2 linked regions of the Rattus norvegicus genome follow. The protein of the gene in region 1 interacts with the protein of each later gene in a biochemical or structural test. Links are inferred from orthologs where the notes say so. Each region holds a gene or a part of one and is shown on either strand. Other genes may lie near its edges.

What was found. The genes of interacting proteins can lie anywhere in the genome.
Region 2: the proteins of Cul4a (region 1) and Ddb2 form a complex in vitro, tested with the Homo sapiens proteins (2 studies listed by BioGRID, with this or other methods). The link is inferred for Rattus norvegicus from reciprocal best matches to the Homo sapiens genes CUL4A and DDB2.

What each region holds. Positions count from the first base shown.
Region 1 is NC_086034.1:83,113,713-83,118,401, reverse strand, and holds part of Cul4a (cullin-4A), read left to right. Parts: intron 1-2,552; coding exon 2,553-2,656; coding exon of another isoform or gene 2,657-2,657; intron 2,658-4,689. UniProt on the Homo sapiens protein: Core component of multiple cullin-RING-based E3 ubiquitin-protein ligase complexes which mediate the ubiquitination of target proteins. As a scaffold protein may contribute to catalysis through positioning of the substrate and the ubiquitin-conjugating enzyme.
Region 2 is NC_086021.1:97,660,025-97,665,482, forward strand, and holds the start of Ddb2 (DNA damage-binding protein 2), read right to left. Parts: upstream 3,420-5,458; 5' UTR 3,278-3,419; coding exon of another isoform or gene 3,250-3,277; coding exon 3,123-3,249; intron 1,879-3,122; coding exon 1,742-1,878; intron 1,225-1,741; coding exon 1,033-1,224; intron 1-1,032.

The DNA.
Region 1 (4,689 bases):
AGAGAGAATAGTGTCCCATTTCAGTTGTCCCAACAGTGGAAGTTCTTTTTCATACCCCATACATGCAGCAGTGTGTCCTAGAGTGAGACCTCATACATTCCAGCCTACTCCACCCCACCAGCCACCCATGAGCACTCACCTCCAGCCTCTGTAAAGGGCAGAGACAAGCAGTGTGCTCACCTGTGCCTCTCCTGTTTCCAGCTGTGCTTCATGCCCTACCACAGAATCTTAGCCAAAAGCACCACCTCTTACCAAAGTCTGGAAATACTTAGTTTGAGGTCTGGTGTAAACACGGGAGCCCATTGGTCATGGCTCTTTGTTCAACAGCTTGATTACTGGATATCACTTGGTTCTATCTGTCCTTCATGGCAGGGAGGTCTCTCAGTTCCCAGTCTCTGTATCTTCCTCTGGGCAGGGTTATTTTGAAGGTGCAGATCCCTTTGCTTCTGAAGACCTGAGTCTGAACCATTCAGGACATACTCCTGTGACTTACGTACTTGAATTTTGTCCTTTCGTCACCCTAGTACACATCAGAGGAAGACTCAGAGTGGAGCTCCACCTGAGAGCAAACTCCTCAGAGTGGCCTAGCTTCCAGGGAGAGGTCAGCTCTGGGCTGGAGTGTACAACAGAGCCGGAAGGTTCACCCCTGTCAGGCATATTAGTGAAGGAGGGAGCAGTGTGGGTCTGTGGAAAACCAAGTAACAGGATTGGCTAAAATGACATGGGAAAGCCCAGGGTGTGGTGAACAGGTCAGTATTGCTAGGACCACTTTGAAGAAGTCACGTACTAGTAGAGCATAAATTCAATACAAAAGCAGAGACTATAGCCTCTCTGACTTGTCTGTCCCACCAGAACCTGCCCTGGTCTAGCAGCCTCCTGCTCAGCTCTCACAGGTGTGTGTTTAGCTCTTACCTCAACCTTGAGTGCTAAGGTTGGGTTTGGAAGATGGTGACAGGTGCATGTCTCCTGAGAAGTTTCTGAGTTTCCTGTTGCCTGGATTTGAGTCCTGATTTCATTTTGTATTCTTACTTATTTCTCTCACTAGGCATCTAGAGGGGCCCAGTATCCCAGCCTCACTCTGAGTAGGGGGTAGTGCGGGGAGGCAGCAAGTTTGTATGGAAATAGTACCCCCAGGCCATCCTTAACACAGACAGTGCCACCAATCCTGGACTGCCATTGTGCATTACCGTCTTCTCATTTGAGTCCAGGGTCACCTTGGGTCCCACCTGTCATACCATATGTCTCTGTAGTGGCTGACTTCAGTTGTAACTAAGTACATGAGGAAGATTCATGTTAGTAGGTATGACAGCGATAGTGTGTCACAGCTAGGAAAAGTAGTTAGGACTGCTGACTCCAACTCAGGAAGCAGCACTCAGAAAACGCTCATATTAGGGGACTGGTGGTGCACACCCTTAATCCCAGTACTGGGGAGGCAGAGGCAGAAGGATCTCTGAGTTTGAGGCTAGCCTGGTCTATATAGCAAGTTCCAGGACAGTCAGAGCTACATAGTAAGACTCCGTCTCAAGAAGGAGAGAGAGAAAACTGTTGCACAAATGCTTTCTTGTGAAGGACGGCATACCAGCCACACAAACTGGACTTCTACAGAAAAGCACACAAGCATGGACGTGTATATAAAATCACTTTTTTTTCTGTACTTGTAAACATGGGCTGACTTATGCTGAGCTTCTGAGGCAGAGCTGACAGATAAGACGGGAAGGTACTTCGAGGAAAAGAGCTAAGGAAAGTCTCTCTGTTCCCTCTCCTCGTTAGAGATCATTTCTTTTTACACTTCTCACGTGAATAAGAGTCTGACATGTATATGAGATTTGAGAGAGGTTTAATATGAGTGATGAGATTATATTCTTTCAGTGGGTAGAAATAATTTTTTTCCTGTAGGCTGTTTAAAGTTGCCTTTTTGCTGGCTGGTGGGTGGTGCTCATCTTTAATGCCTGCACTTAGGAGGCAGAGACAGGCAGAGCTTTGAGTCTGAGGCCAGCCTGGTCTACAGAGTGAGTTCCAGGACAGCCAACGCTGAGAAACTCTGTCTCAAAAAAACAAACAAAAGTTGCCTTTTCTTCATCAAGACAAAATAAATGCATTCTACATCAACAATCAGTAAAAACACAGGGAGCGGAGCAGCCTGGCCTGTCACTCAGGAATCACAGGTCTAACACTCACACAGCTGGGCGCTCCCTCCTGCCACTGCCCAGGTTCACATGGCCATTTTTAGGATATATGTGTGCCCCATTTCAACCTAGAGAGTCAAAAAATGGCCACATGACCCAAACTAACCTCACAGCCCTGGTCTGTGCAGCCTGACAGGGCAACTCCTGAACCAGGGCAAAGCTTCACACCTGAGGTGCCAGCCCCCAAGGAACAGTGGGTGCAGGGTATGTCAGTCTGAGCCCCTCACTGCTGGCACTGCTGGCCATTGCCATCAGTGTGGGTGGCACAAGTGCCCTGACCACCCGAGAGGGCTGTACTGCAGGTAAACGCAGGGCTTTCCAAGAGCTCTGACGCGCGCTGAACAACCACCCTCTCCTTTGTTGTAGGCTGTTGAGAATCTGTGCTCTCACAAAGTCTCCCCCACGCTCTACAAGCAGCTGCGGCAGGTCTGTGAAGACCATGTCCAGGCCCAGATCCTCCCCTTCAGAGAATATCCTTTTCTTGCTTTGCTTTTTGTGCCTCATTTATGACACAAAGCTTTTAAAACTAGGATAAAGAACTGATGAATATCCTCAGTGTAAAATAATGGGTTTTAACTCTTTTTTTATAGAACAAGGGGCCTTTTGTTTCATAACTCATTATAATGGTTTTTTTAAAAGTGAAATTTGTCACATTTAAATAGTTGATATGAGTACTGCATCTAATTGGAACATTCAGGGGAGTTTTTAAAAATGTCTTAAAGTTTAAGTTCTGTTCTTTAATTAAAAATCACCTTATTTTTTATGATATGTGACAAATCCCCACAAATATGGCTGTCATACCCAGCTTATTTTCTTGGGGTGTGCCTGTCAGGAATCAGGATACAGCCCCTTGCTTTCTGTCTCGGTGTCACAGGCCCAATCGGTGTGACAGGGAGGAGTCTCATCTAACGGGGCGTGGGGGGGGAGCTGTAGGAACAAGGTCCTGCTTACCATCTGGCCATAGTGGATCTGGCGTAACCCTGAGGACTGCCCCTCCGGTCCTTGCTGCATCCACTTTCTCCTGGTGGATCGTGCACTCTGGGCAGGCAGGAGAACCTGCCTGTCCGGCCTGAGACTTCCTCCAGGGACAGGACAGACAGAGGCGGGCTGGCTGTGTCTCCCATTAGGAAGGGAACAGTCGGCCTGTACTGCACACAGGGCTGCGCAGAGGCCATCTTAGGTTTGCTGCCGTGTCACCTGTCACTCATGCCCACGAGTACGTCTGTCCGACCTGGCCTCGGGCCAGTTTTAAGCGCACAAACTCTGTTGTGTGTAAAATCCATGTTGACTTCTTTGGCTCCATGCATTCATGTCTAAAATAAATTCCAGAACCTTTGTATTCAAGATTTTCTCCTGATTCAGGAAGTCTTTTTCCCCCTCCTGGGGACACTTGACCCTGCCAGCTGTGCAGACCCTGTTCATTAAACACAGCAAGCAAGTGTGGCTGGACACCGAGCCTCTGGGAGGTCTACTACACAGCTTCAGTCAAGATGCCTCTTGTGTTCTCCGTCAGCATTTTGAACCAACGACTGCAAGATTAGACAAGAACGTGGTGACCAGATCCCTGGAGAACTTGCTCACATGCATCTCCTCTCAGGACAGAGCTGTGAGGCGCATGGAGCTTCTGCCCCATCGGAGCCCTGGAGGAGACTGACCCTAGGCTGAGAGTGGTCAGCAGATGCCACCTAGGACATGGCACCCAGCACTGTTTTGCTCTAACCCCACTTTGCTGCAAACGGCTTTTTTACTTACTTTAATTATCCTCCTGCCAGTTAATCCTAGTCTGGGGGTTGACCTAAGTGTTCACACACTCAGCAAACCTTCATCTCCTACCCAGCGTCTTGCTCCCTGGGTTATAGAAAAGGGGCTGCACCTGATCGCCGTCCTCCAAGGGATCACAACCTAAGGATAAAGCCAGGTTTACAAAGATGTCTCAGAGAACTCAGATACATGCAGCTCCAACAGCAGAACAGAAATCAGGGAGAGGCCCCACAGTGTCGGGGTAAGGGAGACTCAGGGATATGACTGGACTATTCCTTGAAGAGCAATGGGGTGCAACCAGAGCCTGAACATGCCGGAGTGCCAAATGTGTTCCTAAGAACTGCACAGTCGGGGTTGGGGATTTAGCTCAGTGGTAGAGCGCTTGCCTAGCAAGCGGAAGGCCCTGGGTTCGGTCCCCAGCTCCGAAAAAAAGAAAAAAGAAAAAAAAAAAAAAAAAAAAGAACTGCACAGTCTGGTGTGCACTCTGGGTCACAGACTGCATTTGCTTCTGGATATGCCATCAAGAAGTTGCACTTTAAGCTGTACAAGCCACTGAGATTACTTTTAGTTTCTAAGCTAAAGCTCAATAAAATTGTCATGTGAGTATCACAGTGTGATAGGACAGCCTGGCCAGCGTGCAACCTAGCACCTTCACCAGCCAACACATTTCCAAAAGAGCTGGTACGTGCTACCTGAGAAAAGGTACTGTGAGCAACTCAGACTTCACCCTGAGAACTTCCTC
Region 2 (5,458 bases), on another chromosome or scaffold:
CAACCATCTATAGCTCCAGTTCCAAAGGATGTGATGCCCACTCCTGTAGGTATACATACATGCAGGAAAAACATTCATATGCAAAAATAAAAATAATTTAAAAATTTTTAAAAAGGCAGATTACACAGCAACCCGAACTGTAAGTGGGAGGCAGCCATGAGAAAATTATAGAAAAGAGAACTCTAGCCAAAGAGAAAAAAACAAGTCCCAGCTTCAGGAACAGAAGTCGCTGGTACACCTGAAGCATGGGAAATACTATGGTTTGTGAATGAACGGTCCCCCTCCCCAACCCAAGGCTCATATATTAAAGGTCTGGTCTCCAGATGATGGAACTATTGAAAGGTTAACTGCATCATGAGGGGGCTAACTTCATCACCGCTTTAATTCATTGGTGAGTTTCCAAATGAATGAGCTAATAGGGCATGGGGTCTGGTTAGAGGAAACAGGTCACTAGGGGACAAGGCAATCACTTACTCCAGACCCCTTGCAATTCATTCTCCCTGCTTTCTGACTCCTGAGATAAGCCGCACTGCTCTACCATCCTCTTCTACCATGATGCCCACAGAGCAAACAAGCATGGGCCAAAACTCTCCAGCTGTTTTTCTTCCTTTAGATCCCTTCTCTCTGGGACTGCCACAGTAATGAAAAATTAACTACCACAGGAAAGATGGACAAAATGAGGTTTTGTAGGAAGGGATACAGAAAGGCATGGCCAAGGCAGGCAGGTCTATGAATTTGAAGCAAGCCTGGTCTACAATGCATTCCAAGCCAACCAATGAAATTCTATCTCAAAAAGAAGATGACGAAAAGGAGGAGGGAGAAGATGAGGAAGAGGAATGCTAGACTTTATAGACCAGTCTATACCTTCTGATATTTTAAAGACCATCATTAAAAACATATTTGAATTGTGTTGCCATTTATAAGTTTTAAAACCAGTTACTTTTTTCCCCAATCATCTGGCTATCAACATTCCTTCCATTCCTCCAACAATCAGCCTTAAAGCATAACCATCTGGCTCACGTAACCACTTACCCCTTTAAGGAAGATGGGTTTGTCCTTTATGCCAAAGTTCCAGATCATAATATCTCCCCCTTTGGAGCCCACAGCCAAAGTACTGGGATGAGTCGGGTGCCATGCCAAGGACGTTGTCCTCCTGTCAAAGGGGGCAGCTTTTTGGAATACCCGGTAAGAAGCTAGAGAGTGCAAAAAGGACTTCTGGAGACCCTAATACAGAGAAAATAGAGTTAATCTGGATTCCCTGAATTAAAACTCATGTCCTAAGCTGGGCATGGTGGTGCATGCCTTTCACTCCACTACTCAGCAGGTAGAGGTAGGTGAATTTCTGTGAGACTGAAGCCAGCCAGGTCAACATACAGAGATCCAGGCCAGCTAAGGCTACACAGAGATTGTGTCTCAGAACATTAATAAAAACTAAACTCAAGTCCTGGGTAAACTGTCACTCTCTGGCTCCTTTGTGCGTAGGCAGTAAGTCTTTGTTGGCCTTGTGTATCAACTATCTGCAATGTATGTGAACTAATCCTGGCAAGCAGGAGGGAGAATGCTTGTTGTAGCTAGGATGTCTACAGAGTAAAACATTTTCTCTTTGACTGAGTGTCCAGTAGGTCAGTCATCATATCTGAGGTGACCTGATGATTCTGAACCAATCCATCGTCTGGTTAGAGCGGGCAGCAGTTGAAAAGCTATGTACACCTTTGAGCGCCTCAGACAGGAAACATCTCACCTGCTGTAGTGACGGCCAGGTGGCTTTGCCCAACTTCTGCTGGTAAAGATCCCGGACAATGCTGCTGCTCCTCGGAGGGATCTGCAAGCTGGACAACTCTGCCAGAAGGCAGCACGACTCACATTTCCTACTAGAAACTGCCCAAGAAGAATAGACGTTTTCCTCTCCCCAGTCTCAGGAAAGGTTTCCCCTCTGAAAATCCTTTGTCTCATCATCTCCTAAAAGCCTTTCTCTGCTGTTGAATATCACTCAACCCAAGAAAGTAATAACAACACTTTCCCAAAACACTCCTCCAAACAGTAATTCTGCAGTGAAACTAAATATGGCCTTTCAGGGTTCCTTAGAGCTTTGCCAAGGAGCTACAGAATAGTGTACACTCAAGACTTTTCTTGTGTGGGATGACAAATTAGTAGGAGTTGAGGGACAAACTTAAAATCACATTTCTAGGACAGCATGGGAGTAATTGCTTAGGGAAAGAGGTTTGTTTAATCTTATATTAAAATAAGAGCTATCCAAACATATTGGTGCATAACTGTAATCCTAGCACTCTGAGGGCTGGAGCATAAACATCTTGAACTGGAGGCCAGCCTGGTCTACACAGAAATACTAAATAAATAACGTGATGAGCAACCATTACTTGAGTGGAAACCAGAAGAATTAACCAGGGTTTAGAAAAGCTCTAAATTGATTAGGTTGCTTCAGGGAAAGGAGGTAAATCAGAGTATATGAAAACAAAGTAACCCTGAATTACCAAACCCTTCTGGTGGACCCAATCTTATAAGGTCCTTTCTCTTGACAACTTTCCTTCCCATGAGAACATGGCTAAAACCATATCACTTTACCACATTCCTTATAGCCCCAGGTTCAAGCCCTGGTAAACGAGAATGAGCTTCCTGAAGAAAAGGGGTTGGGGGGAGACTTCACTCTCCGAGCTGAAACCCAAGGCCATACAGCTAACAACACCCACTATGGAAATTCAGCAATCAAAGGTCTATGAAAGTGAGGATAACTTTGAAACAGATGTGTAAAACTTCTGCAAGGAAAAGTGATGAGTGTGGCTTTTATGGTGATGGAGCTCATCTGATTCTTACTGCCACCTGGGGTAGAGGTGGGGGGTGACAGTTAAACTTAAACTCTCTGGTGTCAATGAACTGGCAAATAAAGCGCAGTCCTATGAGTGTAGCTCAGTTGCAGACCACTTGCTGAGCGTACTAGAGGCTTGGGTTCGAGCCCTAGATCTCTCAAATAAAATCACAGCCTGAGGTGACGGGGACCAGGAACTGCTTCAGAATCCTAGGCACAAGCACCGACCACCCCACCTTCAGCCTCTGGCGTGAGCACCCTGAACCACCCGAAAGCTAAGGCAGCGCACAGGCCGTACCGGGACCCTGCACAAACAGCTTCTTGGCTTCGGGCTCCAGCTCCTGAGGACTTCTGCGGCTTTTGCTCTTGAGGAGCACCGCAACGTCGGGGGACTTCTGGGTTTCTGGGCATTTCTTGGGAGCCATGACGTACTCGGTGAAGAGATACCAAGCTCTATGGCAAAATAACGAAGCAAGACCTGAAAAGCCTCGAAGGAGAAAAACAGGAAGGGACTACGTACGAAGGAGCGCCGTCGTCGCAGGTAGCTTGGCACAGACAACTTCGCGCCAAACTCTCCTAGGGCTGCTTTACTTTTAGCCCCGCCCTGTCCCCTCAGGGCTGTCCCGCCCCTTGGAACTACCCCGCCCCCTCGGGATTGCCACAGTAGGGGGCTGTCCCGCCCCCGGAACTGCCCCAGACTGCCCCGCCCCTTGGGCATGGTCCGCCCCCGGCTGCTCCACCTCTTCCGGAGTAACGTGTGGAGCGTGCTGGGAGGGTTTTTTTTTCTTTTAACTCCCTAAGGACTGGGACTTCGCTTGTGTGCTGGACCAGAAGAAACCGGATTGTTTAAACCCGGCGGAGGTTACGCACGCCTTTAATCCTTGCACGCTGGAGGCCGAGCCAGGCGGCATTAGAGGCTTGCTTGGTGTACAGAACGAGTTCCAGCAGTCAGGAGAACTACGCTGAGAAACCCGGTCTCGAACAACAACAACAACAACAACAACAACAACAACAAACATTGTCTCGAAGAGGAAGAACAACAACAACAAAAAGAATAAAAAGGAAAAAAGTAGGCAGTTTATGTCTTAACAAGAGCAAAGATCCAAGTGTTGCCTGTTAATAATACCCAATCTGATTACCCAATCACCGCTTTAGCATTCGATTCGTTCCTCTCACTTTACAGATGTATTTTACCTCATAGATACTTCAGGGAAGAGCAGTATCTATGGTGGCACGCTCTATGTAATTTCCAGCACTGAGGAGGCTGGGGTATGAGGAGTTAGCCTGGACTACACTGACATCCTGTAGGGGTCAACTAAGAGTGAGACAATCTGGTGTACTGTCGCACAGCGAGGTGACTGCAGATAAGGGTCATTTGCGCGCTCTCTCTCTCTCTCTCTCTCTCTCTCTCTCTCTCTCTCTATATATATATATATATATATATATATATATATATATATATTATTTTTTTTTTTGGTTCTTTTTTTCGGAGCTGGGGACCGAACCCAGGGCCTTGCGCTTCCTAGGTAAGCGCTCTACCACTGAGCTAAATCCCCAGCCCCTATATTTTTTTAAAAGAAAGATTTTGAATGTTTTCACCGTAAGCGATATCGGAGAAATGTTTAACCCAGTTTAAAGAATACAATATATGTAGGTGGGTGAAACGCAATGTATGCATTCGTTATGAAGATGATACTCCATAAATATTTAAAATTCATATGTCTTTATGTAGTTTAATTTTAAATTAAAGCGATGCTCTAGAGGAGAGTAAAAAGCTGAGCCAGTCGTGGGGCTGTCCTAAGATGGGCTTGAATTAAGAATTGTAGCTTAGGGGTTGGGGATTTAGCTCAGTGGTAGACCGCTTGCCTAGGAAGCGCAAGGCCCTGGGTTCGGTCCCCAGCTCCGAAAAAAAGAACCAAAAAAAAAAAAAAAAAAAGAATTGTAGCTTAGTGGCCAGAGAGATGGTTTAATAATGGTTAAAGGAGGGCTGGAGAGATGGCTCAGCGGTTAAGAGCACCGACTGATCTTCCAGAGGTCCTGAGTTCAAATCCCAGAAACCACATGATGGCTCACAACCATCTGTAATGGGATCCGATGCCCTCTTCTGGTGTATCTGAAGGCAGTCACAGTGTACTCATATACAAAATAAATAAATAGATCTTTAAAAAATAATAATAATAATAATAGTTAGATGAGCTTGCTGCTTTTCCAGAGGACCTGAATTCTGTTCCCTGCACCCAGGCAGGTGGCTCACAACTACCTTGTATGTAACTCCAGCTCCAGAAGACCAGACACCCTTTTCTGGACTCTGCAGACTGATGCACTCATATGTACACATAAGCACATAAAGACACATGTATACACAGAAGTAAACAATTTAAAAAAGCTGCCCAGTGGTGGAATATGCCTTTCATCCCAGCACTTAGAAAACAGAGGCAGGCCTGGTCTATAGAGCAAGTTCCAGAACAGCCAAGGCTACAGAGAAACACTGTCTGGAAAACCTAATAAGTAAATAAATAGCCAAGGCTGCCAAGAAACCCTGTCTGGAAAAACAAAACAAATTAAATAGATAGCTAGGCCTCAGTGGAGCATACTCTTCTACACAGAAAGTTCAGTGACAGCCAAGGCCACACA